Linked DNA regions of Diceros bicornis minor. Each later gene encodes a partner of the first gene's protein in a complex. Links are inferred from orthologs where the notes say so. Each region holds a gene or a part of one and is shown on either strand. Other genes may lie near its edges. The genes, in order: SNRPF, SNW1, PPIL2 and ARMC7.

Evidence for each region.
Region 2: SNRPF (region 1) and SNW1 share a complex: the UniProt entries of both Homo sapiens proteins name them as parts of the minor spliceosome. The link is inferred for Diceros bicornis minor from reciprocal best matches to the Homo sapiens genes SNRPF and SNW1.
Region 3: SNRPF (region 1) and PPIL2 share a complex: the UniProt entries of both Homo sapiens proteins name them as parts of the minor spliceosome. The link is inferred for Diceros bicornis minor from reciprocal best matches to the Homo sapiens genes SNRPF and PPIL2.
Region 4: SNRPF (region 1) and ARMC7 share a complex: the UniProt entries of both Homo sapiens proteins name them as parts of the minor spliceosome. The link is inferred for Diceros bicornis minor from reciprocal best matches to the Homo sapiens genes SNRPF and ARMC7.

What each region holds. Positions count from the first base shown.
Region 1 is NC_080764.1:26,526,249-26,533,394, reverse strand, and holds the start of SNRPF (small nuclear ribonucleoprotein F), read left to right. Parts: upstream 1-4,129; 5' UTR 4,130-4,207; coding exon 4,208-4,210; intron 4,211-6,192; coding exon 6,193-6,318; intron 6,319-7,146. UniProt on the Homo sapiens protein: Plays a role in pre-mRNA splicing as a core component of the spliceosomal U1, U2, U4 and U5 small nuclear ribonucleoproteins (snRNPs), the building blocks of the spliceosome.
Region 2 is NC_080763.1:25,536,575-25,543,518, reverse strand, and holds the start of SNW1 (SNW domain-containing protein 1), read left to right. Parts: upstream 1-3,938; 5' UTR 3,939-3,995; coding exon 3,996-4,009; intron 4,010-4,059; coding exon of another isoform or gene 4,060-4,308; exon of another isoform or gene 4,309-4,602; intron 4,603-6,944. Other genes in the region: ADCK1 (aarF domain-containing protein kinase 1), read right to left, coding at 691-772, 4,060-4,308. UniProt on the Homo sapiens protein: Involved in pre-mRNA splicing as component of the spliceosome. As a component of the minor spliceosome, involved in the splicing of U12-type introns in pre-mRNAs.
Region 3 is NC_080774.1:30,150,993-30,158,280, forward strand, and holds the start of PPIL2 (RING-type E3 ubiquitin-protein ligase PPIL2), read left to right. Parts: upstream 1-4,274; 5' UTR 4,275-4,426; intron 4,427-6,541; 5' UTR 6,542-6,669; coding exon 6,670-6,753; intron 6,754-7,288. UniProt on the Homo sapiens protein: Has a ubiquitin-protein ligase activity acting as an E3 ubiquitin protein ligase or as an ubiquitin-ubiquitin ligase promoting elongation of ubiquitin chains on substrates.
Region 4 is NC_080757.1:55,646,411-55,654,347, forward strand, and holds the start of ARMC7 (armadillo repeat-containing protein 7), read left to right. Parts: upstream 1-4,929; 5' UTR 4,930-5,300; coding exon 5,301-5,391; intron 5,392-5,482; coding exon 5,483-5,626; coding exon of another isoform or gene 5,627-5,658; exon of another isoform or gene 5,659-5,672; intron 5,673-7,937. Other genes in the region: SLC16A5 (monocarboxylate transporter 6), read left to right, coding at 1-663, 1,390-1,640. UniProt on the Homo sapiens protein: As a component of the minor spliceosome, involved in the splicing of U12-type introns in pre-mRNAs.

The DNA.
Region 1 (7,146 bases):
ATATTTCGATAAAGCCTGTCCAGAGATATCCTGCATGGCCAAGCAACTGGCTGTTTCTATGAAGGAGCAGTGGCCAGTTCAATAATGTAAAACCTAGTATTTGCTTCTCATTCCTCCCCGTCTTACCTTTTTGCTTCACTTTTACTGCCCTGGAATTGTGCCTGCCAATAAAGTACTGACATTTAAATTTTTCCTCCGGGTCCATTTTATAGGGAACATGGGCTTGACACCATGGGAGGAATTTCTTTCCGATCACAGTAATAGAAACAACTGTGCTTTTCCTGAATAATTACAAAAATATATTATGGAAACTGGATCATGTAACCAATCATTACTCTTTGCTAGGACTCTATAGAGTTTAGAGATAAATGCGCAGCCCCTCAGTAGCCAGTGCATAAGGCAATATGATGTAGATGTCTGTATTCTAATGTTATATCTGGTTCTATTACTTTCCCTTCATCCTTCACTACTTCATTATTTCCTTTTGTTGTTTTTTATAGGCCACTTCAATCACTTGTAGAATAAAGCAGAAGATAAAGAATGTAGCTTAATATGAGAAAAGCATTCAACTGAAAGAGGCTATTCTGGGTCTATCTCTAACTCAGGTATGACCATACTTTCATCATCTACAAAATTAGAGGTTTAGACGAGGTATCTCTAGCGTTCTGTCCTAAGTTTAAAATTCAGTGATTCATCAATGCCGACTCAAGAACTGGAGCACACTTAGCTCCTAACCACAACACCAGGTTTCCTATGAGGTCTGATTCTCTCTCTACAATGGTAGAAAGAGTATGCGCTTTGAATCACCAAAAAGACTCGGATTCTAATCTAGGTTTAGAGGCTGTATGATTGAGGAAATTAATATATTTGGGTCTTAATTTCTTCACTAGACAAAATACCACGTCTCTCAGGTTTGAGATAATGTAAAGCTCCTACCAGACAGAGGCACTCAAATCTTGCCTCACTCCCACCCCTTTAAATCTACTCTGGCCATAACTGATTCTGACCATAATCATAGAAAAATAAAATGTTGAGATTACGGGAATAAAGAAAATGAAAGGATGGGGCGGGCCCGGTGGCGCAAGTGGTTAAGTGCGCGCACTCCACTGCGGTGGTCTGGGGTTCGCCGGTTCAGGGTTCACTGGTTCGGATCCCGGCGCGCACCGACGCACCACTTGTTAAGCCATGCTGTGGCGGCGTCCCATATAAAGCGGAGGAAGACGGGCATGGATGTTAGCCCACGGTGGTCTTCCTCAGCAAAAAGAGGAGGATTGGCAGATGTTAGCTCAGGGCCGATCTTCATCACAAAAAAAAAAAAAAAGAAAAGAAAAGGAAGAGTTCATCAATTTCAAAAGTAACTTTCTAAACTTTATCCCCCTTCATCTTGCATTTATATTTGTACTTCTATATATTTGTTTATTTGTACTCTACTCAAACACATTTTGAGGAGAGGCAGTGTAAAGGAAAAAATCTCAGGCTTTGGAGACATTTCACCTTCTACACAGCCTTCAGCAAAAATATATAACCCCTCTGAATCTGTCTCCTCATCTCGAAAATGGGGCTAATAATGCCTACCTGGAAGTGCTGTAGGATTTAAATAAGGTAAATTACATGAAATATCCTGGCATAACATGGCAGGCACTAAATATGTATTGGTTCCCTTCTTCTCAAAAAGGTTTTCAAGTTCCATGAGGGCAGAGATCACATCCATTTTATGCACCTCAGTAAATATTTCTTGGTCATTTAATCAACTACTTTTTAGATGTTTGTTTATCACTGGAAGTTTTGGGTTATATGCTGCGCAGCAGTAGAAGGCCTTACCGAAGTGTTCACCCTAATTAATAATTAGGGACCATTTCCCCAGAATGTGCTCAAAATGTAATCTATCTCATCTTCAGAAAATATAAACCCTGTTACTTCCTCCATATTAGAACCAATTATTCTGACGGGTATTCTGTTGAGCCATAGGGTAACATGGCAATATATATTTTTAAAAGCCTTTAAAATAATAATGCCTTTAACCCAGGAATTATATTTCTAAGGATTTATTGTAAAGAATCAAAGATACACTCAAAGGCTCGTGTAAAAGTATGTTCAAAGCACATTGTCTATAATGGGGGAAATGAAAACAGTAGAATGATTAATAAATTATCACATATGCATAATATAGAATAAAAAATGCATAAGACATTAAACTCCATTTTAGAAGAATAATTATATGAGAATTTGCTCAATATAAAGTGAAGAAAAGCTTAAAAACTACATGTAAAATCTTGTAAAAAAAAAAGTGCATGTGTTACAATAAATAGTACACCAAAAAAGTTGACAGTTGTTTTCTTTGATTGGTGATACTAGTGATTTTTGTTTTAGAACTTTCTATATTTTCCAAATTCTCACAAAACGTATGTATGGCATTTATAATTAGAAAAATACCAATCACCTTATGCCCACTTTATTTTCGATAAGGTAAGATTAATATTTAACATGAAGACAAAAAACGACTTTAAACACAACTATCATTACGTAGATTATGGTAATATTTTGTTTCACTTCATTGAGAAAAGAGCTAAAAAAAAAAGTCAGACTTCTAAAATATCTATTGATCTTTCAAAAGGCAGCTTTATGAAGCAGAAAAAGCCAAGAGTTTTCAGGTTGAAACCTAGCTGTGTGGCCCTGAGCAAGTTACTTGCTGACCTGTTTCCTCATCTCTAAAATGGGACCATAACCACCAAATCACAGACTGAGTAGTAAGATTTCCATTATAATAATTGTGAAGGACCCTGGCACATAGTAGGAACTCCAAGTCTGTACAAAGGCTAAATATTCACTAAACGATCCTGAACCAAGGGAAAAACCTACTGAACTTTGGGGTAAATAATCCCAACTGCTTGGCATAAACTACTCTAAAAGAAAATTACTGTGGTTGTCACTGTTCTCCTACATTTACATGGACAATATTAAAATAACAGTTAATATCTACTGAGCCCTTACAGGCCAAGCACAGTCCCAATCTCTTTCACATTAATTATTTAAACCTTACAACCCTGTGGACAGTACTAGAGTTTTTAAAGCCACGTACAACTGAGGAAACAAAAGCCTTAGGGGGTTAAGAAACTGCCCAACACCATCTCCATGAGATGGACGGACGTTCTGAACTCAGGCTGCCTCCCAAGTCTTACCCACTACTCCATATGTCTCGACACGCAACATTTAAATCTCAGTTCCAAATTCATCTCCTTAGGGCCGCAAAAGCAAAAACAAAAAACTTACTACTCTGAGCGCGCTTCTCCGAGAACTGCATTTAGCATTTCAGATCAGAGTGAGCTCAAAGTCTGTACCGGGGGGGAAAAAGAAGTGCGATTCTGACAAACAGCGTTACATCAAAAGGGTCGATTGGTGAAAGAGCAAACATCCCCACGTCCTTAATTACATATGCACATAAAACGCCTGTACCGGGTCTCCGCTGGCGATGCAAAAGGAACAGAGCGACAGGGAAACCACCACACCATATTCTAGACTCAATTTGCCCTCATTCTGTACTTGACTTTCTTCGGTGCGTTTCACCTCTCTTAGTCTGGTCTGGCTTCTCTCACTTCCTTTAAAGTGGTTGAAATGAGCATTACAGAAGAGAGAACAGTCAGGTAGACGGGGACCGTGGCAGAGGAGCCCCCAAATTATACAACCCGTGGGAAAGTGAGGAAGAAACTCGAGAGCCCCAAGTGTGTAAAAGGGGCTCTTAAAGGTGTAAAGGGACAAAGGAAACCCCCCACTGGCTTAGGGCGCGCAATTACGTCCTCTCTATAGGGTACAGAGCATCTCTCGGAAGAATCCTCGAGGCAGGTGACCAGAGGAGAAGCCCGGGCCGACCTCACTGCCTCTGCAGCCTCGCAGACACGCTCCCGGCTGAGTTCAGCCGCCTTTGGTTTCCCACAGGCCAGCGCGCCCCCGGGAAGGCCCAAAAGCGCGCCTTACTACTCGTTGCCAAGAGACACTGCCCAGCCACCTCCTCCAATCAGCACGCATCTCTTTGCGTCCAATCACAGAAGGTAGAAGAGCTGAAGTCGGAGGTGAAAGGTCACACTGCTGTTCGGCGGCCATTTCTTTTGAAGCTCCCTGGTTCGGCTATTGCCGTAGTTGCTGCAGTCACAAGGGACGGACGACAGCTGGGTCGGCGGCGAGTGGCCTGCAGCATTTGCCGGTAGTCGTGATGGTAAGGAGGAAGAGAACGCACGGAGTCGCCGGAGAGAGAGAGAGGGCGGGCGACTAGCCTCGCCGGGCCTGGTGGCTGGTTCGCGCGTTTCCCATTCATCCGCGTGAGGCGCCGCGAACCCGGTCGCCAGCCCTTTTCTCCCTGCTCCGGGGGTCTGAGGCGCGCGCTCCTGCCAATGCCTTCCCCTCCCCGGGAGTGCCCCTGTCCCCTTCCGTCTTTTCTTCGTCTGCAGCTGAGCCTGAGATATCTTTACTGCCTGGGGCCACAGGGTCGGGGTAAAGATGAAGCGGTGTTTCACGTCCCGCTTATCACACTCCAAAATCGGTGTTCTTTCCAGGATGTTGGGGCTTCCAGCCCCGCAGCCCTCAGGAACCCAGAACCCAGGCTTTGGAGCGTTCATTTGTTCGTTTAGCAAATAGTTATTGAGCGCATGCAACCTGCCAGATACTGTTCTAGGCGCTGGGAATATAAGGTGAAAAGTGCTGAAGCGGGCCCTTCTCTAGGTTAACTCAGTCGCGTGTGAAAGACAGACGTTAATCACATAATAACAGAAATATGTAATTGCAAATAGTGTTAAGTACTAAGAAGGAAGCAACAAACAGGATGCTGTGAGGGGGCGCGATGGTATATTAGAAGAGTGGTCAGGGATGGCATCCCTGGGAGGAGGGATTTAACCTGAAACCTAAATGATATGAAATAGCCGCTAAAAGAGCAGGAGGGAAGGTGTACCAAGCACGGGAAACGGGAACATAGGCCCTAAGGCCGGAAAGAAAGCTTGACCAGTTGGAGAAATTGACAGAAAGCCACAGCCGCTTGCAAGAATGGTGGTTATGAGATAGGGTCGGATAAGATCTCTTCAGCCTTATTAGGAGGGCTGGATTCTACTCCAAATGTAATTGGAAGCCATGGAAGTATTTTAAGCAGAGACATATGAGTGATACAAATAATACTTGCCGGGTGGATAATAAGTTGGAGAAAGAAGAGAGTGAAAACTGGAGACCCATTAGGAGGTTATTGCAGTAGTCTACGTGTCTTTTGAGATCACTGTGAATATGCTTATGGTAGACGGGTTTAGTAACCAGGTTTCTGGTGCTTTTCTTTCTTTGGGCTGATGGGTGAGCAGAAGAGTGAGGGAAGGAAAAAGGTGAATTCACTGGGGACACTATTGGTTTGCTGAATAAACATTAAGTGATTGCCCATATGTAGGAGGCACTAAGTCAAGTTAAGACCCAGTCCTAGTTCCTAGAATTCAAGTGAAATTTTGTCAAGTGTAATCTGCCCCCTGCTTCCTTCTGTAGCCTCATATTTGGGACTCTGACAATACTGAATTGTTTGTATATCCCTGAGATCACCTTGTTGCTTCACTCTTACCTCCTTTTGCATAGGCAGCCTCTTCTGCCTAGAGCAGCCCTTTTTCCCTCTGGGAAATACCTCTCATCCTTTTAAAATAGAGGCATTACTTATTTCAGGCAACCTTTCCTTTTCTCTTAATCCTAGATTGGTTTGGTACCTTTGTAAATAGCACATCACCTCTTACTACATTGCAGTACATATAATTGTCTATTTGTATGTGTTTTGCCCCTCCCTCTCCCACTGTGAGCTTCTTGAAGACAGGCAGTGTCATCTGCATTTCTTTCTTTCTTTTTTTTTTTTTTTTACTGCCTTTATCTTTGTTTCTTTATAGCCTGGAACATTGAGTGATGCATAGTAGGCATTCAGTGTTTCTTAAGTGAATAATGAATACTTTTATACTTTTATAAGTTTTGATGTGTTGAAGGTGAAATTGTCTTACTGGGTATTTAAATTTCTCTGATGCTCTTCAACAAATAAAAGTGAAAATTATGTAGTAAAGTGAGAGGGTGTCAAGAGTTTGCTTCATTTTGATACCTTCAAATATTGGTGATTTGGTAGAGGAGGGTAGGTAGAGGAAGCCGATCTAAGGAAAAATAATCAATTGAGTCTTTTTTTTGTTCTTTGTGCAGAGTTTGCCCCTCAATCCCAAACCTTTCCTCAATGGATTAACAGGAAAGCCAGTAATGGTGAAACTTAAGTGGGGAATGGAGTACAAAGGCTACCTGGTATCTGTAGATGGCTATATGAACATGCAGGTAAGCTAAAGAGTTATAAGATCATTAAATGGTATTTATTTTGCTTCATCTTACACCTCAAAGGTTTAGTGTGACTTAGAGGAATACAATCAATTAAATTGACAAACATAAAGCCAAATTTAGGAATAAAGTCAAGGCCAAGGAAGATGTTATAACTGTGATATACTATGTATGAAACATGGTGTTAAACCAAAATTCAGCCGCAGATTTGGCTCCTAGTGGTTAAAATAAGAAGAGCTCAGGCAATTGATTCACAGTGCCATAAGGAAAACACACTAGTTTGTGGAAAAAGTAAAACATTTCCCAGGACTTAGCTCTGAAAGAAATTTTTCAAGTGAAATTCTTTTTTTTTTTTTTTTTTTAAAGATTTTATTTATTTTATTTTTTCCCCCCAAAGCCCCAGTGGATAGTTGTATGTCGTAGCTGCACATCCTTCTAGTTGCTGTATGTAGGACTCGGCCTCAGGATGAACGGAGAAGTGGTGCCTCGATGCGCACCCGGGATCCGAACCCCGGGCCCACCAGCATCGCAGCGCGCGCACTTAACCACCAAGCCACAGGGCCGGCCCAAAGTGAAGTTCTTAAGTCTTTTAATAAATGCTTATGGCACAACATCAGAGTAATTCCATAAAAGCATTTCTTGAGGAAGAAGACAGATCAGCCAAAGGATAAACTAGCTTCTGTAATTATTTCAGCCAGGTTTTTTTCTTTTTATTGTGGTAAAATATATATAACATAAAATTTACCACTTTAGCCATTTTCAAGTGTACATCTGTCATTAAGTACATTCATATTGTTGTGCATCCATCACTATTATCCATTTCCAGGA
Region 2 (6,944 bases), on another chromosome or scaffold:
ATCTTCCTCTTTTTGCTTGAGGAAGATGGTCCCGGGGCTAACATCTGTGCCAGTCTTCCTCTACTTTGTATACGGGACACTGCCACAGCATGGCTTGATGAGCGGCATGTAGGTCCATGCCCGGTATCCAAACTTGCAAACCCCGAGCTGCTGAAGCAGAGTGCGCAAACTTAACCACTATACCTTCGGGCCAGCCCCTAAATTTTATTTTTTTGAATTGTCATACAGTAAAACTGACTTTTTTGGTGTACAGTTCTATAAATTTTAACACATGTATAGATGCATGTAATCATCATCACAATCAGGATGCAGAACAATTCCATCACCCCAAAAAATTTCCTTACGGTGGTCAATTACTTCCTCCACCCCAATCCCTGGCAACACTGATCTGTTCTCTGTCGCTATAGATTTATCTTTTCAAGAATGTCATAAATGAAATCACATAATATGTAATCTTTTGAGACTGGCTTCTTTCACTCAGCTTGATGCCTTTGAGATTTGTCTAAGTTGTTGTGTTTATCAATAGTTCATGGAATAGCAAATTTTTAAACCTCTAGAAGTTGAAAAAGTAGACAAAAGTACCAAGAATCAAAGGATCTTGATACTTGAAAGGATCTTTTATATTATCCGGGCCCATTCTGTCCTTTTATAGACAAGGAATCTGAAATCCAGTGAGGGTTGAGGACTTACCAAAATCGTGCAGGCAAAGGTGATAGGGATACAATGGTGAGAGAGATTCAATCTTCCTTGCAGTCATGTAAACCATCAAAATCTACAAAGTGTGATAAATGTTAAGAATGCGGGAAGAACAAGTCTTATGGGAGCACAGAAAATAAACACTGTATAAATTCCTTTCCATTGCAAATGATAGAGAATCAACTCAAACTAGCTTAAGCCAACAAAATCATTTATTGGCTCACTTAATTAAAAAAGATTCAAGGTGGTGTGGTCTTCGGGCACTGCTGGACCCAGGAACTCCCATAATATTGTCAGAGATCTCAACATCTGTCAATCTCTTACTCTCCTTCTCTTCACCCTTCTGGTTTCTCTTTCTTTTTGCATGGTGGCTTTATTCTTCCCTGTTACAGGCTCTTGCTATAATGCCAGGAAAGATAGATACTGGTAACTCAAGCCTACAAACGTACAGCTTCTGATCCAAAAGAGAGACTGATGCTTTCTCTCCTGGTTGCATTGATCAAACCTCTGGCCATTCCTTCTCAGTCTCCTTTCCCGGTTCCTCCTCATCTCCCCAACCTCTATACACTGGAGTTCATTCTAGAAGCCTGTCCTTGGACCACTTCTCTTCTGTACCTACACTCGCTTTTCCTGGGTAATCTCATCTGGTACCATGAATTTAAATACCATCTGCCTCCAAAGGTCTCCAGCCCAGAACTTCCCCCCACACTTCAAACTTACATATAAACTGCCTACTTGACATATTTATTTGGCCATCTAATAAGTATTTCAAATGTAACATGTTCAAAACCAAATTCCTGATGTTTCCCCACAAACATGACACTCTTGCAGTGTTCCCATCTCAGTAAATGGCAACTCTATCCTTCTAACTGCTCAGGGAAAAACCTTGGAGTCATCCTTGATTACTCTCCTCCATACTTCACATCAACACCATCATCAAAATTTGTTGGTTATACCTTCAAAACAGATCCAGATTCCAATCTCTTCTTACCATCTCTACCACTAACTCCCTGCCTAAGCTATCAGCATCTCTCCCCTAAATTATTGCAAAAGCCACCCAACTGGTCTCCCCATTTCCTCCCTTGCTTCTTGGAGTCCATTTTTAACAAAGCACGCATAATGACCTTCTTAAAATATAAGTCAGATCTTGTGTCTTCTCTGCTCAAAATCTCCAACATAATCTCTATATACTGCAAAGGAGTGATCTCCAAGGTATTTTAATAAGTAGAAAAAAGCAAGGTGGAGAAAAGTGTGTATGGTATCTACCATTTATCTAAAAAAGAAAGAGAAGTATACAAATATATATGTATTTGTGTATACTTTTAAATGTAAGGATAAACCATAAAAAATATTTTTTTAAAGGTTATCTACAGGGAAAGGAAGGAAAAGGATGGAAGAGACAAGGTAAGAATGTAGACTTCTCTAAATGCACTACCTGTTTGGTAAATTTTGGCTTTGAAACCACGTAACTGTTTCACAAAACTATTTTTTTTAAAAAAGCAACCACTAAAAATCCAAAACAAAATGAAATAAATAAACTAACTGGGTATCAAGTTAGCCGCACAATCACACACAGAGGAATTATTCTAAGTCACTTTAAAGCAATGTAATTTGGGCCAGCCCCATGGCTTAGCGGTTAAGTGCGCGCGCTCCGCTGCTGGCGGCCCAGGTTCGGATCCCGGGCGCGCACTGAGGCACCGCTTCTCCGGCCATGCTGAGGCCGCGTCCCACATACAGCAACTAGAAGGATATGCAGCTATGACATACAACTATCTACTGGGGCTTTGGGGGAAAAAATAAATAAATAAATAAAATTATAAAGCGATGTAATTTGACTATATATGCCTAGAGAGAGATACCCTAATGACAAAAAGAATTGAAAAAAAAAATCAGAAACTATTACCACTAAGCATATGTTTAGTAACCATATTAGTAATGTTATTCTGAATACTATTTTATATATAGTAGAATAAAGCAAATGAGTAATTATGTTAATACCATTAGACCAGATTTTCAGAAGAGAAATGCATATAAAATCAAACTTAAGTAAAATCTGTGTAATCCTAAATTTGTATTGAATATATTAGTATGAATGAATGATGCATTTTCTCAAAAAATATGTTTATGTGAATTTTTTAGCTCTATCCACTGAAAAGGCAAACAATAATCAACTCAGTTACAATGAACATTCGTAGCATCCAGATTGTTTTCTCTAAATATCACTTTCCCACTTAAAAGAGGGCTCCTTGGAGAAATGGTTGATTCCAGGTCTGAGGCAGAAAAAGTACTAGATGAGCCTAGAACATCTTGTCACACCAGAAATCAAATGATCCTGGGTCGGGGGTGCTTCTGCTGCTCAAACAAGTGTTTGGCTTGGGAATATTCAAAGAGCTGTACACTTAGAATGTATGCACCTTTCTATATGTGTGCTATACTGCAATTAAAAGTTTGTTTCTACTCTTTATCAGGGAAAATTTCAAACATATACAAAAGTAGAGAGAATAGTATAATGAACATCCATTTCTCCATTATCCAGTTTCAACAATGATCAAAACTCATGGCTATTTTCATTTCATCTGTACTCCTCCCACTTCCCTCTCTCCAATATTTTGAAGCAGATTTCATTTATCCTATCACTTCATCAAAGATTATGTTTAATCCATAATCTATGTAAAACACATAATCAATCTAAAACACATACACATAAAAACATACATACATAATACACATGAGGAGTGTTCTACTAAAGGCTACTTACTAAGGGTCACACAATACCTCCCCAGGAGAGTGTTTTGGGGGATAGGTAAGGGGGTAGGGGATAGCGTTTAAAGAAAAGTTTTGAGTGTGAATGTTTTCAGAGCGTCCAAGAATTAATTCTCCATTCGCCAGTCTCACGATTTCCTATTGTTTTAAAACCCTGTCACCCTTTTATATAACGTTGCCGTCCCGGGAAGGCTCTTGTATTTGAGACTCCTACAAGGAGAACGAGACTGAGTGGGAAATAAAATAAAGCGGCTTAAAAAGCATCTCAACTTCTTTATTTTGCCTAGGGAACGCCCTCTCATGTCACAGTGTACGAGCGATGCATTTGCTTTTCTTAACCGAAGCGCTTATGCCTTTATAACCGCTCGGTCTCGTTAGATGAGAACCGAATAGGTCTCTTGTTCAAAGAACTACAAATCCCAGAAGGCCCTCGTCTACGGCGCCTGCGCGTTGCGCGCGCCTTCCTTTCCCCTCCTTGTCGCCGGGAAAGACCCGCCCCGCGGTGCTGTCGCTCGCGCTGGAAGAAGCGGAAGAAGATGGCGCTCACCAGGTGGGTTGTTGATTCGGGTCCTCGATACGGAAGGGTCTGGGAGTACCCACCTTTTTCTTTTCTCTGCCCACACTCTCCGGGCGGTGACCCGGCCTGGGGCACAGAGCAGCGTTGGCCGAGATCACGGCTAGGCCCTCCCGCCGGCCGCCGGGGCGACTAGGCCTCGCCGAAGCTGGGGTCTTTCCTGAGCGGCTTCCCGGGTTGAGTTCGCCCCCTCGATGGGGCCGAAAGCCGCGGCGTGGCGAAGAGTTCTGTGGCCTCAGGTGCCGAGGAGTCCCACGTGTTTTTGGCTTAAGCATCTTGGGGGTGTGGAGAGCGCTCCCTCGGGTCCGCGGCTCGGGTGGGCGCGATGGGGTATGGAGGGCAGTGGCTTGTTTGTCTGGGCGGAGTGAAGCGGTCTTCCGGCCGTTTGTCTGCCGAAGTCTCTCTCCCGTCTCTGTCCCGAAACAAGATTTCCTGAAAAAAAAGGGGGCCTGGCACTGAACAGAGATTTTCAAGTAGCCACAGTAGTGGCCGCTGTCCACTAATTCGCGCCGCTGCTCCGCACTTCAACTTTGAACCTTAGAATTTCTTCCGTAGGTAGAAACACTTCAGATTTTTGCTGTTCCCGGTTGCCTCGGTAACTGCATGTAAAGTGGTCCCTGCCTTTGAGAAAAAGTTGCCTAACTGGGAGATTCCAAGAAGTTACGTAACTTGCACTAGTCCGCGACCTAGCTGCCCCATCTAAGTAGAAAAACTTTCCATGGGAACGCAGCAGGAAAAGTTGTGTGTCAAAGAGGGTTATAAAGAAAGGAATCATTTTAGGACATCCGCTTGAGCTCCCTAAACACATCTCATTCTCCTCACATGTACGTTTCCTGGTTGACGACAGTTGTGAATCCTAAAAATGTTTTAATCAGAAAATTCTTTTGGGAATTACTTTTGAGTGCCTTGCGCTATCCCAGGGCTTGTGTGTATGCAAAAGGAAATCTGACAGTCTTTGGCTGCAGGGAAGATGTGGTAACAAGGCATACAGATATGAAACAAAGAACAACACAAAATGCTTATTTGTGTAGTACTAACTTACGTGCAAAAAGAAATAGATGAAGTGAGCTGAATGAACTGGAGAGTTTCCATTAGTAAATGTTACAGGCAGCAAACGTTTGAGTGCTCTCCAGGTGGGAGGCACAGTGACAAAGATTAGTAGGGTTATGAGGAAAGGTTTTGTGGAAAAGGTGGAATTTGAGAAAGACACACAGGAAAAATACCAGAGATGTTGTGGGTACTGTGTGCTTAAAATTACAGTGGCAGAGTGCAATCTTTAAATGGCTAGTCTAGGGGACTACATAGCTTTCTGATTTTGTTGAGTTAGTTCTGACTGATCTGGTTTTTAGAGATGGTCTCAAGTTTCCAGGTGAAGTGTTGTTATCTCCAAGATTTACCAGGGATTCTTAACAGCAGGGACTTGACATACTGATGTGTTGCAGTCTTGGTGTCACCCGTGATTGTTACTAACTAAAGATTTAAGGTCATACTGAGGGGCCAGCCCAGTGACGTAGTGGTTAAGTTCGCACATTCTGCTTAGGCAGCCCTGGGTTCACCAGTTCAGATCCTGGGCGTGGGACCTACTCACTGCTCATCAAGCCATGCTGAGGCAGCTTCCCACGTAGAAGAACTAGAAGGACCTACAACTAGGATATACAACTATGTACGGGGACTTTGAGGAGAAAAAAGAAAAAGAGGAAGATTGGCAACAGATGTTAGCTCAGGGCCAATCTTCCTCAAAAAAAAAAATAAAGTCATACTGAGATGGTAATTAGTCTTTAGGTGATGGACATGATGTAATCTACACAGAAATTGAAATATAATGATATATACCTGAAATTTATATAATGTTATATACGAGTGTTACCTCAATTTAAATAAAGTCATATTGATTTAATTTTCTAAATTCAAGTGTTTTTAAGGTTATGTATCTAATAATATCGCTTGCATTTAATATACTTTCTTTAGTAAAGGGGAAAGGGTAGACCAAAATGTCTTAACAGTGGCACTATTGACGTTTTGGAGTGGATAGTTCATTCTTGCATGGGGCTGTCCTGTGCGTGGTGAGATGTTTGGCAGCATCTTTGGCCTCTACCCACTAGATACCACTGGCATCATCACCCTCGTCCCGCCCCTTACCCCCAAGTCCTGACCATCAGAATGTCTCCAGATATTGTCAAATAGCTGCATTGTAGATATTTTGCCCCCAGTTGAGAACCACTCGGGTAGACTTTCTCCTTACATTCGCAGCCCCCTATGTACCCCCCTTCCCCAGGAGTGTGCCTCTTTGTGGGAATGTCATCCTTTACAGGGAACAACAAAGTTAAGACCCTCTGGAAAACTTAAGTATATTCTGACCTCAATCCAGGCCAGGTTACCTGTTTACTGGATTGTCCAAACTGTTTGCTTTGGCAGGCTGCTTGCCTTTTCATCATTTTAGTGACCAGTTCTTCCAACAGAGGGTAAAGAAAAGAAAAGAAAAATGAAATAGAAGTAAATATTTTAGCTTCTTTGTAACTGTCTTTGTCTCTGTCCTGTGTATTGGGTATATATGGTTTACTGAAAACAACTACGGTAAAAGCCCAAAACTTTTGACTCCGTTCATCCATCCATTCCTTCATTCTGTTAGTAAATATTTGTTGAAGGTCTACTGTGTGCCTGGCACTCTTCTATTGATGGTTTTACAGTATTGAATCAGCCAGGCAAACTCCTTATCCTCACAGAGCTTACGTTCTAGGAGAGACAGACTATATATGAGTAAACAAATCAATAATGCAATCCTAGGTAGTGAATAGTAGGAGTTAAAGATGAAGGGATAGAGAGTGACTGAAAGCGTGGGATGGAGTGCTGTTTTGGACAAGGTGGACAGAAATCTGCTCTAGGGAGGTATAATTGAGCAGAGACATGAATG
Region 3 (7,288 bases), on another chromosome or scaffold:
CCTGCCCCAGCCCTGGGCGAAAGGGGTGTCGCACTGCGTGAGTAGCAGGGTCCGAGGCGGGGGCGCGAGAAAAGCGGCTCTACTCGGCGGGACTGTGTGGAGGGGTGCAGCCCGGATCCGTGGGCCCTCTCCGGGCAGGGGACTCTGGAAAGGGGGGAAGTCTTTCCGTTCCACTGCTCCAATTTGGGCAGTCGGGCAGAGAATCTGTCAGGACAGAACTCAGAGGCCAACTTGGGTGTCAGGATGAAGGTGATGGGGCCCTGAGCCGGCAGAGGCGCGTCGTCCCGCAATGGGGCCACCCTTCTTGTCCCGGAGCTGCGAGCCGGCTGAGGGCGCAGGGTCGTTGGGCTGTACCCACCCCTGCTCCGGGCGCGAGTGGGCTTCGGCCTGCGGTGGAGCGGGCCTCTCTCCTTTGTGTGTATGCCCCCTCCCCCAATCAGCTCCCACTCTGGAGTTGGAGCTACTCCTCAGTCTGGGGTCTCACCACCGCAATCTGGAGCTGCTCGGGGAAAGTTCAGGTGCCCTGGGGTCCTGAGGACCCCGAGGACGGCAGCCCTGCTGAAATCCCCCTCCCTACCTTGATGTCCAGGACAGGGCCCTGAGCCCCACCCACCCATGGTTGAGCTTCCCGCCCTGCATGTATTGGGGGCTGTGGAGGTCCCCCCTGCTGGCTGCAGGTGCTCTGACGATGTTGCACTACTGTGCTCTGAGAAGCAGTGCAATGATATTGTCAAAGCATCTGGGACCAGCCTTGGGGACCTCCCTCCCCCATACTCCCCCTACCCCTCCCCAGGCCTGGTCTCTTGGGCTTGCAGGCCCTCCCCTCCCCCCTGCCCAGCTCACTCCCTTCTCCATGGAAACTTGAGATCCTAGCCAGGCCTGGGCCTCCGGGGTCAGAGGGCACCCTTCCCCCAATCAGAGGCCCCGCCCTACTGGGCCTGCGTTCCAGGTCTCAGATCCCCCACCCACCTCCGGAGGAGAAGCACTGGCAGGCCTGCCTGACACTCTTTCCCTGTTGCACTACTGTGGGCTGCTGGGAAGCAGTGCAATGATGAAAGGGCATCAGTCAGGCCCAGCCCCACCACAGCACTCAGGAGGAGGGAGTTTTGCAGCCTCACTCCACTTCCAGCAGTTAGGCGCAGGGGCGGAGCTGGGGTAGACCCTCCATCAGAGGATCAGGTGAGTGCAGAGCTGAGGGATCACCCCACAAGCGCTCCATCTGGGTCATGGTTGGACAGGTGCAGGGACAGAGACCGCAGATTTAGAAAAGCTCTGGTTTGAAGAGGATCTTTCCACAGCAGCTCCCCAGCTAAGACTGGGGGCTCCAGATTTGGTCAGGGCCTTGTTGCAAAATAGAGGCCCACTGCTTTGCATGGAGGGTCTGCCAGGGCCTGACTCAGACCCAGCTCAACCTTGACCATGTGGAGGTGAACTGGACCCAGCCCGCCTTCAAGGCTTGGGGAAGACCAGGCTCTGGAGGGAATGTTCTCCTGGGTTCTCAGCAGGAGCAGTACTATCTGGGGTGGGGGGTCGACTTGGGATACGAAGCCTGCAGGCGATGCCCACCAACCACGCCAGCTTGTTCTCTTACAGGGAGATCTGCTGCCCTGAGCCTGCAGGAGAACCTGTGAGGTACCTGACCTGCCCACCCTCACAGCTGGAGTTGGGAAGATTGGAGCTGAACTGCCAAGGAGCCTGGCCCCAGGCATGCTTGCAGGGCCACCTCCACCATCGAGACCTGACACAATGCGAAAAGTTTTTATGCGCCCAGTGACAGTCATTCAAGCCTGTCTCCTTAAGAGGAGGCCCAGGTCTCCAGATGGGCATTTGGGATTACCCCTCACCCCTGGCTGAGCACATCAAGACACCAGCTTCACCTCTACCTGGGTGGTGGAAGTCTTGGCATCCAAGGGGAGGAAGAGGGATAATGACACATGCTCCTTTCTGTCCTGGGCTTGACCCCTTGGGGTTCCTCCATCCCAAGGCCACTTGACTCAGGCCTGTCCTCCTTTCCCCTGGGCTCCAGGTGCCATGGCTGGAGGTGGCCACCCTTACTCCTGTGCAGATTCTGTACCCACTGGCTGGACATCCCCTTGCAGCTGTCTCCTGCCCTTGCTGGCAGAGGCGTGTTAACTCAGGGCCCTGCTCAAATGTTCCCTCCTAGGGGAAGCCTTTCCTGGGCTCCACATCATTCAATGTTCCTCCAGCAAAGCCTGTTAGATTGAAATATTCTCCCTGTGGCTGAAGACGTCATTAGACTGGGAGCTTCTGAGTGCAGGGACTATGTCATTTTTTCTTTCTCTTGGCAGTATCTGACACAGAGGAGGGGCCCAAAACACTTTTTTTTTTTTGCTGAGGAAGATTGACCCTGAGCTAACATCCGTGCCCACCTTCCTCTACTTTATATGGGATGCCGCCATAGCATGGCTTGATATGTGATGCGTCTGCACCTGGGCTCCGAACCTTCGAACCCTGGGCTGCCGAAGCGGAGCACGCGAACTTAACAGCTACACCACTGGGCCAGCCCCACCAAAACACTTTCTAAAAATACAAATAAACATACAAAGTGTGAAGTATTATTAGCATACCACGATAGGGGAGAGTTTAATCAAGAGTCTGCTTGACCCCTCAGAGGATGCTTGTCCTGCTTATAAAAAGGTACATACTAAATACGTTAAAGTCAAGTCTCATTTTGTAAGTCCCACAGGGTCAGGAAGCGGAATGGAGATTTGAACCCAGGTGTATCTAAGTCTACCTGCACCCCTAGACAAACACAAAGGCCAGGCCTTCTTTCTCCTTGGTTGTCCCCACCGTGCTCTCTGACCTCAAAGCAGGAAAAAGTGAGTGCCACCTCCTCTGTTGGGGAGAGCTGAGGCTAGCCGGCTGGTGGTTTGGCGGAGGGAAGTGAAAAATCTCCTTAGACTTCTCAGGAACACTCCATGTATCTCAGGGCTGATGGGGGGGTGGAGGGGACAGGAGCGAGCAGTCCAGGGTGCACCTCCTTCATTAGTGGCAGAGTGGGTGGTGGTGTCAGTGCTGACCAAGTAGGAGAGGGTGAAGAGAAGCAGGTTTTGGGGTTGGAGGGAAGGTTTTGGGGTGTGCCAATCTGGATGTGTTCAGCATGAACGCCCCAGAAACGTCCCTTTAGGACACTCAGATGTGGGTCTGGAGCTCAAGTGAGGTCTGAGCCTGAGACTCAGGTTAGGGTTAGTTAAGTCAGCTCTGGGTTGGGACCAAGAAGTAGGGAAGATTGATCAAGATGGTAGGGTGAAGACAGGACCTTTTGAAACGCATAAGGAGCCGCTGGAGACGCCAGTGAAGAGGCCACAGCGAGTATGGAGCAAAGAAGTGGTTATGAAGGGGAGGAGAGAGGGTAGAAGCTGGAGGGGGCCGGGGGGTTGATGCTGGGAAGTGAGTCAGGAGAGGAAGAGGGTAGAGTCCAGGGATAGAGGAGTTAGGGGCAGAGTGAAGTGCTTGGGGTGCTGTCTACACACGGTGAAGAGGGGAAGCAGCCAGAAGCGGAAGGGACTGGAGGCTGGCCGAGGGGTGAGGGCCTTAAAGAAGTTGGAAGAGTTGGGGTGCGGACCGTGTTCTTGGCGTGGCCGTTGGCCGGCCCTGATCAAAGCTCTGCCGGATCCTAGCGCGATAGGGCCTCCGCCGAGCGCAGCTGCGTTCGCCCCGTCGAAGGCGCGACAGCGCATGCCCAGAGAGGGGGCATTGTCACGTGCGGCCGTCTGGCAGGGAAGGGCCCCGCCCGCGATCTAGGGGGGATTGGCTGGAGCGGTTGATCGCAGAGGGGGCCGGCGGCGGTTGGATGGAGAGCTGGTACGTCTCCGCGGTCCCCGCCCGGACGGGCCCTCTCAGATGGAGGTCCTGGACGAGTTCGACAGCGAGATGCCCCCGAGCGTGACCTTCTGCCAGCGCATCTCCGAGGAGGACTTCGAGAGACAGGCGACGACCTACACCAAGCGCGCGCTGCGCCGCCTCTTCCGCAGCATCGACCGCAACCCGAAGCTGGCCGAGCGAGTGGTGCGCAAGGGCAAGCAGGCCGAGTGCGAGCGGCGCGGGCTCCTCTCCTTCCTCTGGGTGCGGGCCGGCGGGCGGGCTGCGGGGAGGGGGGACCAGGGGGCGGGTGCTGTCATCACTCCCGCTCCTGCCCTGTAGGGCGGAGATTGGGGGTGGGGGGGGCCGTCGGGCCTTCCTGGAGCTGCAGGGTAGGGTCTCCCAGAAGCCTGAGGCGGCCCAGCTTGGGGAGTGCAGCGGGCAGGCGTCTCACCCGTCTGGCGTCCTCCCGCTGCTGTCGCAGGGAAGTTCTGTGCTGTCCAGGGGGAGCTGAACTACTGCAACTGCGTGGGCGCCGGGGAGATACATCGGCGCCTGGAGCAGCTGAGGAGGAGCATCTACCGCGCGCACCTCTACTCCCAGGGTGAGGCCCACCCTGTGTCTGGCTCCAGCAACCCAGCAAACCTGACTCAGGGCCCCTTGTCCCTGGTCCTGTGGTTGGCACTTTTTTCTAAATTTGGTGTTTATTTTAAAAGTCTATTATGAAAATGAACATACACAAAACTAGAGACTGCAGTAAACACGCGAGTACCCTTCACCCAGCATCAGCGGCTGTCCCCATCTCACCGTGCTTGTTTCATTCTCTAGATCCCCTTTTTCTTTTTCTGGAGCATTTTAAGGGAAATCTCAGACATCATTGTATTCCTGAATACTTTATTTATTTATAATTTTATTTATGTATTTATTTTTCCCCCAAAGCCCCAGTAGATAGTTGTATGTCATAGCTGCACATCCTTCTAGTTGCTCTATGTGGGACGCCGCCTCAGCGTGGCTGGAGAAGCGGTGCGTTGGTCCGCCCCCGGGATCCCAACCTGGGCCGCCAGCAGCGGAGGGCACGCACTTAATTGCTAAGCCACAGGGCCGGCCCTCCTGAATACTTTAGAATGCTTCTTAATAAAAAAAAGACAGTTTCTGACATAAATCACGATATTACTGCTGATATAATTGACAACAATTCCCTAATATTAGCTGATACTTACTTAGTCCATAGTCAGAACTCCTGGATGGTCCACAAAAATCTTTCTACACTTGGTCTGTCGTGTCAGGACCCAACAAGGCCCACATGCTGTGTTCATGTTAGGCCTCTTAGGTTCTTTCTCACTAGGGTGACCATATAATTTGTGTCCACATCGGGGCACTTGTAAGAGTGAAATGCAAGGGGGCCATGTTAGTGACCACACAGGGATGGCAAACAAGGATCTGTGGCCAGGTCTGTGGAAGTCCCTTTGAAGTGAGATACCCTTACTTTCCCTCTCATGCCACTGACTCAAAGATCTGTGTTGTCCTTCGGGGTATCCCACTTCATGGGTTTAGATCTGCTGTCATAGTCCACTGGTGGTGTTTGCTTTGCTCCCCTCTGCCTGTATTTCTCAGACAGTGGCTCTGAAGCCTTGATCTGATTCAGGTTCAGTGATAGACCACAGCAGTCCTGGGGCTACTTTCTTCTCCATCCCATTGGGAGGCCCAGCTTACTTGGGGGTCCCCCTTTCTGTGATGCTGGGTGTGAGTGCTCCACGTCACCATTTCATCTGACGGCTGGTCCTACAGCACACGTAGCTCTTACCCGAGGTAGCATTAGTGTTATTTATCCTTGTTTTGTAGAAGAGGAAATAGAGGCCCAGGGAGGTTGGCCAACGTGCAAGGTCACATAGTAAGTAGGAGAGTCTGGACTTGAACTCAGGTCTGGGTGCTCCAAGGCGCAGTCTCTTAGGCCAGTGCTCCCTGGTGGTGGTGATTGTCACTCTAGGTGAGCCACTCTGATGGGCTGTATGAGGAGCTTGTTAACACCCACTTTGCTGGTAGTCTCCAACTTTGAACAGTAGAAATAGCCAGACTCGTCAAATCCAGGAGGGAGACCTAACACGGAGGGAAGAGAGGGGGCTCACTCAAGAGTTCTGCCCCTCAAAGATTCCCTCCCTGAGCCCACCTCTGCAAGACCTAGTTCATGTGGGTTTCCTAATAGAGGAAGGGCCCTTTGCACACCCCCAGGATGGCCCTGGGGCTGGGTGTAGTCAGTGCGCTCTCTGTCTAGGGCCTGGATGCTCCATGAGGGTGCTGGCAGACTCAGGAGCTTTCCGTGATGCTTGGGGGGTTGGGTAGCAGACCAACCTGCCTGGGCCAAGCCCAGCCCTCGATGGCTGTGACACTCTGTCACTTCCTATGAAATTCTGGCCTTGAAGTCAGACAGCCCAGGCATGGATCCTGTGTGTGTCTTGTACAGTTAGAGCTTCCGGTCCCGCTTGTAAGATAGAAACAAAAGTACCCTTTCCCCGTGGGATAGTTGTGGGCTCGGTGAGGTGATGCTTGTTGGCGCCCATCGACAGCGGCTCCAAGCATTGTTATGTGGTGCCCTTTGGCGGGGGCCTACCTCTCTTCCTTGTTGGAGGGACTGTGTGAAGACCCCACACCACTGTGTTTGGCCCGCACTCTATCCTATTCTGGCCATGGAGTAGGCACTCATTGGCACCTTTTGTCACAGATGCCAAGAAGAGGAGGAAGCGGAAGTTGAAAAAACCAGAACCCATTCTCTTGAGGCACCGGTCAACCTCCCTGTGTCTGCCACCAACCCTGGTGCCACCTCTGCCACTGCCACCACCTGCCACCACCATGGCCTCCGAGGTGGCTCCATCGCCTTCTGTCTGCACTATGCCCAGGGTTTTTGGTCCTTACAATCCGCTGCCCTGCAGGTTGGTCAGTGGGCACATCCCCCACTCTGTGCGGCCCTGGGAGGGACCGCCTCTGCCCTCTGCTCAGAACCACCCCAGCAGCTCTCCCACACCCACAACAGTGGCTCTCAGAACTTTGTTTTAAGCAGGAGAACGCTCTGCAGGGTTGAGTCTTGAGTGGAACTGCACCAGATAAAGCAGATAGGAGGGGGCTGCTCTGGTTGGAGAATTGGGGTGGGGTTGAAGGCACAGCTCCACCTGCTTGGCCTCAGCCGAGCAAGGTAGCCCCAAGCGTACCGGGCAGAATCCTGGGGCTCCCAACATACAGGTAGAGAACCATGCCCCCCATGTCTCCAGTCCCACACCCTTAGCCCCACACCCACCTCTCCCTGTGGATGTCATTCTCCATGCCACCTCTAAGTGCCTCCCTAATGCCCTTCCGAACCACCTGCCCCTCCTGACTCCTGCTTATTCTACACTCTCACTGCAGGCAGCGCCCCAGCCCCCAGGCTGGGTTAGGACCTCTTCGGTCAGCTCCCAGCTCCCATCCCGTCCCTTGT
Region 4 (7,937 bases), on another chromosome or scaffold:
AGGAGCTGGGCTGGAGGGGCACCTTCCTTGTCTTCGGTGGGGTCTTTCTCCACTGCTGTGTCTCCGGGGCAATCATGAGGCCTGTGGCCACCAGCATGGCCCCTGAGACCAGAAAAGGCCTCCCTCCACCTTCCAAGACACCTGCGCCCGGCTGCCCGGCAGCGTGTAGCCGGGCCATACAGCGCCACCTGGCCTTCGACATCTTGCGGCACAACACAGGCTACCGTGTGTACACGCTAGGTGTCGTGTGGATGATCGTGGGTTTCCCGCTGCCGCATATCTTCCTGGTGCCATACGCCATACGGCATGGGGTGGACGAGCACCGGGCAGCCCTGCTCATCTCCATCATCGGCTTTAGCAACATCTTTCTACGGCCCATGGCTGGGCTGATGGCAGGCCGGCGGGACTTTGCTGGCCACCGCAAGTACCTGTTCAGCCTGGCAGCCCTGCTCAACGGGCTCACCAACCTGGTGTGCACAGTGTCGGCTGACTTCCGGGTGCTGGTGGGCTACTGCCTGGTGTACAGCGTGTCCATGAGTGGCATTGGTGCCCTCCTCTTCCAGGTCCTCATGGACATTGTCCCCATGGATCAGTTCTCCAGGGCCCTGGGCCTCTTCACTGTCCTGGAGAGCATCTCCATCCTCATCGCCCCACCACTGGCTGGTGAGGCCCTGGGAGGGAGGGCAGTTGGGTGTGCGTGGGTGTGGCCTGGGTGGGCAGGCTATGGGGGTGGGACAAAGGGAAACGGTCTGGATAGATTTGGGCCCCATCCAGCATCCCAGAGGTAGACTTGGAATTTCTGATTTTCCCAAGCACCCCAGGGGACTGGCTACTGCCTGTCCCCCAACTGGTGCTCAGGGTATGAACAGTTACAAATAAGGGTCTTTGGTACCAGACTTACCTGAGTCCTTCCTCCTCCTCTTTGTACCTATGTTTTCGTATCAGCAAAGTGGGGATGGTCATAGAATCTACCTGGTAGGCTTGCTGTGAGGACTGCAAGTTACACAGTAAAGAGCTTGGAGAGCCTGGCACACTGTGAGTGCTATGCAGGAGGAGGTTGGGGTGGGCCCAGTGCATGACTGAGCAGATACCCCAGACTCCACTGGCCCTTGTGTCCTTGGTTTCCTGCCACCAAGGGTGAGGGAGACATGCCCTTCAGTGTTCTTCCAGCCCGAGAACTCTTCCAGCCTGGGCCAGAGCAGGGTTAGTGTTTCCTCTCCTTTCATTCAACAAATTATCTATTGAGAGCCTACTAGGTCCCAGCCACAATTCCTAGTACTAGGGATACAGCAGAGACAAAAATAAAATCCCTGCTCTAGCAGAGCACAGTGTAGTGGTGAGGGGGCTAGTAGCCCCAGGCAGTGGCCTAACTTGCTGTCTGTCCCCCAGGGTTCTTCCTGGACATCTCTGACAACAACTTCAGCTATGTTTTCTACATGTCAAGCTTCTTCCTCATCTCAGGCGCCCTCTTCATGGGTGGTAGCTTCTGTGCCCTGCGGAAGAAAGAGAGGCAGGGCAGGCAGGCCGAGGGGGAAGGAGCCATCACGGAGGCTGCGCTGGAGCAGACCCTCACCGTGGAAGGCACAGATGGTTCCAAGAAGCAGGTGTACACTGAAATCATGTATGTGACCAGCCTCTGAGCCCTGGGATCACATGTGTGACCAGCATCTGAGCCCTGAGGTCAGTGAGTGACCACTGCCTCAGCCCAGGAATGGGATGTCCAGCTGCCTTGCCAGGAGCTGGGGTGAGAGCTGCCCCCAGGAAGCCTGAACCAAAGGCGATCCAGGCTTTGCACGTTGGGACTCAGCCAGGAGCTGGAACCTTGGAGGCTGGCCTCCGAAGACTCAGGGTTCCTTGCAACTAGCAGAATCCAGGAGCGGGTCCTCCTGAGTTTTATCCTTGGTACCAGAGTACCTGGGGCCCAGGAAGTTGGGGCTGAGCCCTGCTCCCGTCTGTCATGGCCAGGTCAGCTCAGCTGGCTGCCCACTACTGCTGCTACAGCTCAACACACTGGACCTCCTAGTCCAGCCCGGATGCCTCTGATGTGATCTCTTTGTCCTTCTCCGGCCTCCAGACAGTTCCAAAGAACTCACCCGTCCTCTGAGGCCCTTCTGTCCCCCTCTTCCCAAGCGACCCGGCCCTTGCCCTTAGAACTGCCTCCAGAACAGGTTGCTGTGCCCCACGTTGACTGGAACCTTGGGAAGAAGGGCCTTGTGAAAGAAGGAGTTGTGGCCTGCAGCGGTGGAGGGCCAGGCTAGGGTTTGGACAGATTAAATCTTTGGGTAGAGTGCCTGTCCTGGTGTCTGTGCAAAGAACTGGAGGAGAGCATTGGGTCCTAGAATCAGTGAAGTCTGAGAGGTCCCCCTGCACACTCAGCAAGGTCTGCTTCAGGGTCTCCCTCCCTCTGCCCCACCCTCTATCTTGGCTGGGAAGATTAGTGCCAGGGTTGGGGGAAGCTAGACATTTGACTGACCAGGGGAGGGGCAGGATTGCTGGGCAGGGCCCAAGGACCTCTGTGAAAATGGAGCTGCTTTTTGCAACAAAAGCCCTTCCACTCCCCTCTCCTGCCCTTCTCTTCTCCCTCCTATGTCAGAGGTGTCATCCCTGGGGTAAGTAGCTGGCTGGGACAGCTGTCAGTCCACCCCTGCTCCCTGTTGGCCTATGCATGTGGCCTGGAGGTCAGAACCACCCCCCCCACCCCACCCCCCCACCCCCGCCAACACACACACACTGTTTTTCCTGGTGCCCTTCCCTGAGCTCATCACCTGGGGGCTGGCTGTCATCAGCCCAGGCTTGTCCCAGCAGGGTACCAACAGAGGGAATAGAAAAACAGAGTTTGTTTGAATTACACACAAAAATGTTTTCTGCAGCAGGTTATATAAACCCTGTGAACTAATGAAGCTGGAAAACAGGCCTGGAGTAAGTTTCCCCCTCCCCCTTCAGTTCTCCCAGCTCAGCAAGGGCTGCACTCACCCAGAACCTTATTTGTTGATTCAAGCTCAGCCAGGCTCCAACAAGAAAACCTTATCAGGAGAATTGATTTTATTTTCATGACCCGGCTCCAACTGGGATGAGTAAGCATCCTTGGGGATGTCCTGTCTTCTCCAGGACCCTGTCATGAGTGCCCCCTTATGGCGAAAGATGGTAGTGCAGAGGTGAAGCAAAGGGCTCTGGGGTGGGATAGACCTCAGTTCATGTTTGGCTCTGCCACAATTTGCTCTAGGACTTTGGGCAAATTGTTCACCATCTCTGGGCTTTCAGAAAGGAGGAGGTTGGCCTGGATAAGCACAAGTCTCTTCCAGTTTGAAAAGTCTGACCCCCATTGCCTTCCTGCTCCCCACCCAGTCCTGCGCTTGGCCACCAGCCACAGCTTGTGCACTGGAGGGGGAATGCTGGGACACATTTTACCAGGTCTTGTCTCACCTATCTTAATTGAGTGGAAGAGGAAGGAGTTGGGGCTGGTGGGTAGGTGAATGCTTCCAGTGCTAGCAGCCATCTGGCTTTGAAATGTGCATCCTCTAATAGGCCCCTATCCTTAAAAAAAATTTCTTTTAAGGAAAAAAGATATCAGTGAACATTCAGCATAGGGGACTTTGAGCTCATCTGCCCTCGGGCAAGAGTGGCAATAATCTCTGGGCAGAATTCCTTCAACAAATATTTATTGGGCATCTACTGTGTGCTAGGGACTGGGCAGAGAGGAGTAAGACCTGGTTGCTGCCCTCAGCACAAAACCAGGGACTGAGAATTATTCCCCAAGGAGGGCCTCTGAGGCCTTGGCAAGGAACAAATAAGGGAGGATAGGGTGACCCATCTGATGCCAGAACCCACACTTAGCTGATTTCCCGGAAATCCCCTAGAGAGGGTCTGGAGCAGTTCCTGAGCAGCACAGGGTGGAGCTCACTGCCATCCTGTCCCCAAGCCCTGAGCTCCTGGTCCCCAGGCCTTCGCTGCTCTGTCCAGCCAAAGGCAGAGAAGCCCCCTGATACCTTGGGCTAAGATGTACTTCCCTAGGTCACATCAGTTCCCCAAAGAAGCTGAAGGGCCTGGCGAGGGGCCTGGGGCCACCACCCCCATGGAGCAGCCACAGTACCCAAGCACCCAGACTATGGTCATAACTCCTGCCCCAGGGGGCATGCATAGAGCAGGGGCTGACCACAGGGACCTAAGCCCACAGAGGTGGGGCCTGTGGAGGCTGGAGTGTGGCAGCCACTCTGCCCTCATGCCAGGCCCAGGAACAAAGGTACATGGGCCTTGCCCTCAAGAAGCTCACAGCCCAAGCCCCTTTAACCCCTACATTTTCAAGCATGGTTGGAGTGCAGCAGGGCCACCTCTCTCCCTGGTGCTCTATTCCCTGTGCCTACAGGGTCTCGGTCACACACCATCTTCCTGAGAGGCCCGAGAAAGAATTAGGCTGAAGGGCTTCAGCATTCAAGGCTGCACAACCCAGAAAGCCGCTAAAGCGGTGCATTTGGGTGAACTGAGGTTCCTACGGCCCGTTGGTGCTGCCCCAGCGCTCCCCGTCCACCTGGCTGACAAACCCAGTTCCGGAGACTTCTGGCCAGAGGTGGCGGACTCAGCTCGGGGCTGCGGAGCAGACGGTTTTTGCAAAAGCCGAGCAAGAGGTAGTGTCAAAGGACCCATCTTGGGGGCGCAGGGAGCCGAGCCCGCGTCCCTTGGTCGAGGAGGCTGAGCTGCGTCTTCTCCTCAGGTGCAAGGGGGTCTGGAGATGCTTCTGCCTCGACAGCCCCCCACATGTACACCCTCCGCCGCCTCTGAGCTCCCAAGGACCCTAGAGGTGCTCATCAATGCATACATAACTCTCCAACGCCCTTCGCCGCGACCCCGGCAGTAAGGCGAGAAGCGGAACGCGCACGCGCGCCGAGCTCAGCACAGGCCCCGCCCTTCGCCCGCTTCAGCCCGCCCCTTCCGCCCTCTGGAGCGGAGGTAAGCGTGCCTTCCACCGGAAGCCCGGAATCGAGCTGAAAATCAAGCCCAGCGGAGGAGTGCTGCGTACCGCGACTACCTCTTCCAGCGCACAGCGCAGTCCTTGTCTTTCACGCCGCAATTTAGATTTTTCACGCCCAACTCTTACAAGATCCTGAGGCCCCACCCCATCCTCCTCATCCCAATTCCACCTGCAAATTACTGCATAACCTGAACCCAGAAAAGGAAGATATTTCGCGCCCCGGTCCGCCCTTACCCTTATCGGTAGAGGCCCGGACAGGTTCTCTCCCGGCTTTTCCGGCCTCACCTCCCACACTCTCCTGCCTGTGCGCTGGAGGTCCTCCGCCTCCCCGACCATGGCCCAGAAGCCGAAGGTAGACCCCCACGTTGGGCGCCTGGGGTACCTGCAGGCGCTGGTCACGGAATTCCAGGAGACGGAGAGCCCAGGTGAGAGCGGCAGGATGGGGTCGGGACGGGGCGGGGGTCTGGCCGCGGCCGCCGCCCGGGACCTGGCTCCAGTTCTGCTTTTCCGCTGCAGACGCCAAGGAACAAGTCCTGGCCAACCTCGCCAATTTCGCCTATGATCCCAGCAATTACCAGTATCTGCGGCAGCTGCAGGTCCTTGATTTATTCCTCGATTCGCTGTCGGAGGAGAATGAGACCCTGGTGGAGTTTGCTATTGGTAAGGATGGGGCTGGGCCCCCAGATGCCTGATGGGCTGTGGTGAGGTAAGTGAGTGAGAAGTGAGTCGTTGGGAAAGGAATCTCTTAGGCAGTCCCTCAGCTGCCAAGGCAGACCTTCGCGATGTCTGTGCCGCCTCCGCGGTTCACGCATCGTCCAGGTCACAGCTAGCTTGAGTCAGGTCTGGAACTCACGCCCAGGACTCCCTCTGCCTGTCTGCCTTCCCTCCTGCTTAGAGATGAAGTCATAAAGGAGGGAATGGATTGAAGCCAGTTGGAGGGAAAAAAGTTTAAAAAGTGATCCTTCAAACATCTTTATTTTAATGTTTTACTATCAAGAACAGCAGAGGTAACTTGGAATGTGTAGCTTATGGTTCGTGTAGTTCTTATGGTCTAAGACCTGTTGAATTATTCACTGGACAGATATTTATTGGGCATGTACTGTATGAGCAAGGTACTGTTCTAAATGCTGGTGAGATGGTGAACAAGTTGGGCAAAGGTCTTTGCTCTCAAGGAGCTTCCATTCTAGTAGGGGAGACAGATGGTGAGCAAACAAAAAAAAAAAGCTGAGGCTCTGAAGGAAATAAACAGGGTGATGAGACAGAGCAGTCGGAGCTGGGGACTACTTCTGTTTGGGCCATCATGGGAAGGCATTTAGGGAAAACCCTACAGCAGGAGGAGCCAGAAGGCTGGAGTGGCAGGATTGTGGTGAGTGAAGCGGGGAGTGGTAGAAAATGAGGTTCGAGAGGTCATTGGCACCAGAGCTTACAGGGGCTTAGAGGTAGGCCATGGGAAAGAGTTTGAAATTTATTCTGAGGGCAAACAAAAATTCTTTTTTCAGCATGCATGTTTTAAAAATAACATTTCTCTACATAGTGAAAGGAATCTTATTCATGTAGGGAAAGAAACCTACCTTTAATAATTCCATTATTACCTAATACACAGTTATGTGAATTTCTCTAATAGTTCCCAAAAGGACATTTTGTTTGTTTGTGTAAGCCGGGATCCAATCTGGGATCCATGCATTTCATCTGGTTATATTCCTTAGATCTTTATCTCTCGCTCTTTTTAAATAAACTTTTATTTTAGAACAGTTTTAGGAAAATTGCAAAGATAATACAGAGAGTTCCTCTATGTGCCATACCCAGTTTCCCCTCTTATTAACATCTTAGTGTGGCACATTTGTTACAATTAATAAACCAATATTGATAAATTATTATTAACTCTACATTATTATTAACTCAAGTCCATACTTTATTCAGATTTCCTTAGTTTTTCCCTAATGTCCTTTTACTGTTCCAGGATCCCATTCATACTACATTACATTTAGTTGTCACGTCTCCTTAGGCTCCTCTGGGCTGTGTCGGTTTCTTAGACTTTTCCTTTTTTTTGATGACCTTGACAGTTTTGAGGAGTACTCGTCAGGAATTTTGTAGATTATCCCTCAATTGGGATTTGTCTGATGTTTTTCTCATGATCAGGCTGCATTATGGGTTTGGGGAGGGTGACCCAGGTAAAATGCCAGCCTCGTCGCATCATATCAAGAGTACATGCTGTCAATATGACTTATCACTGTTGATGATGACCTTGATCCCCTGGCTGAGGTAGTATTTGTCAGGTTTCTCCGCTGTAAATTACTCTCCCCACCCTTTCCATATTGTGTTCTTTGGAAGGAAGTCACTACGTAAATTATCTTATATCTCTTTTAATCATTAATAGACTTTTTTTATTTTTTATTTTTTATTTTTATTTTTATTTTTTTTATAATTTTATTTATTTTTTTTCCCCCCAAAGCCCCAGTAGACAGTTGCGTGTCATAGTTGCACATCCTTCCAGTTACCGTATGTGGGACACGGTCTCAGCATGGCCGGAGAAGGGGTGCGTCGGTGCGTGCCAGGGATCGAACCCAGGCCGCCAGCAGCGGAGCGCGCACACTTAACTGCTAAGCCACGGGGCCAGGCCAGACTCTTTTTTTAATATCACTAATTGTGGAAGGATCCAGGTTAGTTCTTCAGTTCTGCAAAATGTCCCACCTTCTGAATTGTCTGGTTGCCTCTCTTGGGCTTTATTTGGTTTGTTCCTCTATCCCCTTCCCGTTTATTTCCTGTAACCTAGAAATTAGATTGAAGGCCTTGGTAGAATCAAGCAACACTTTTTTTTTTTTTTTTTTTGCTGAATACATCATAGGTAAGTGTAATTTAAGTTTTTGAAAGACCATCCAGGTCTGCCCCTGTGTTTGTGATATCTGGGGCTAGAGTACAAATGGGCGTTGGCCTACCTTCTCTTCTCACACACGTGTGTGGACATCCCAGC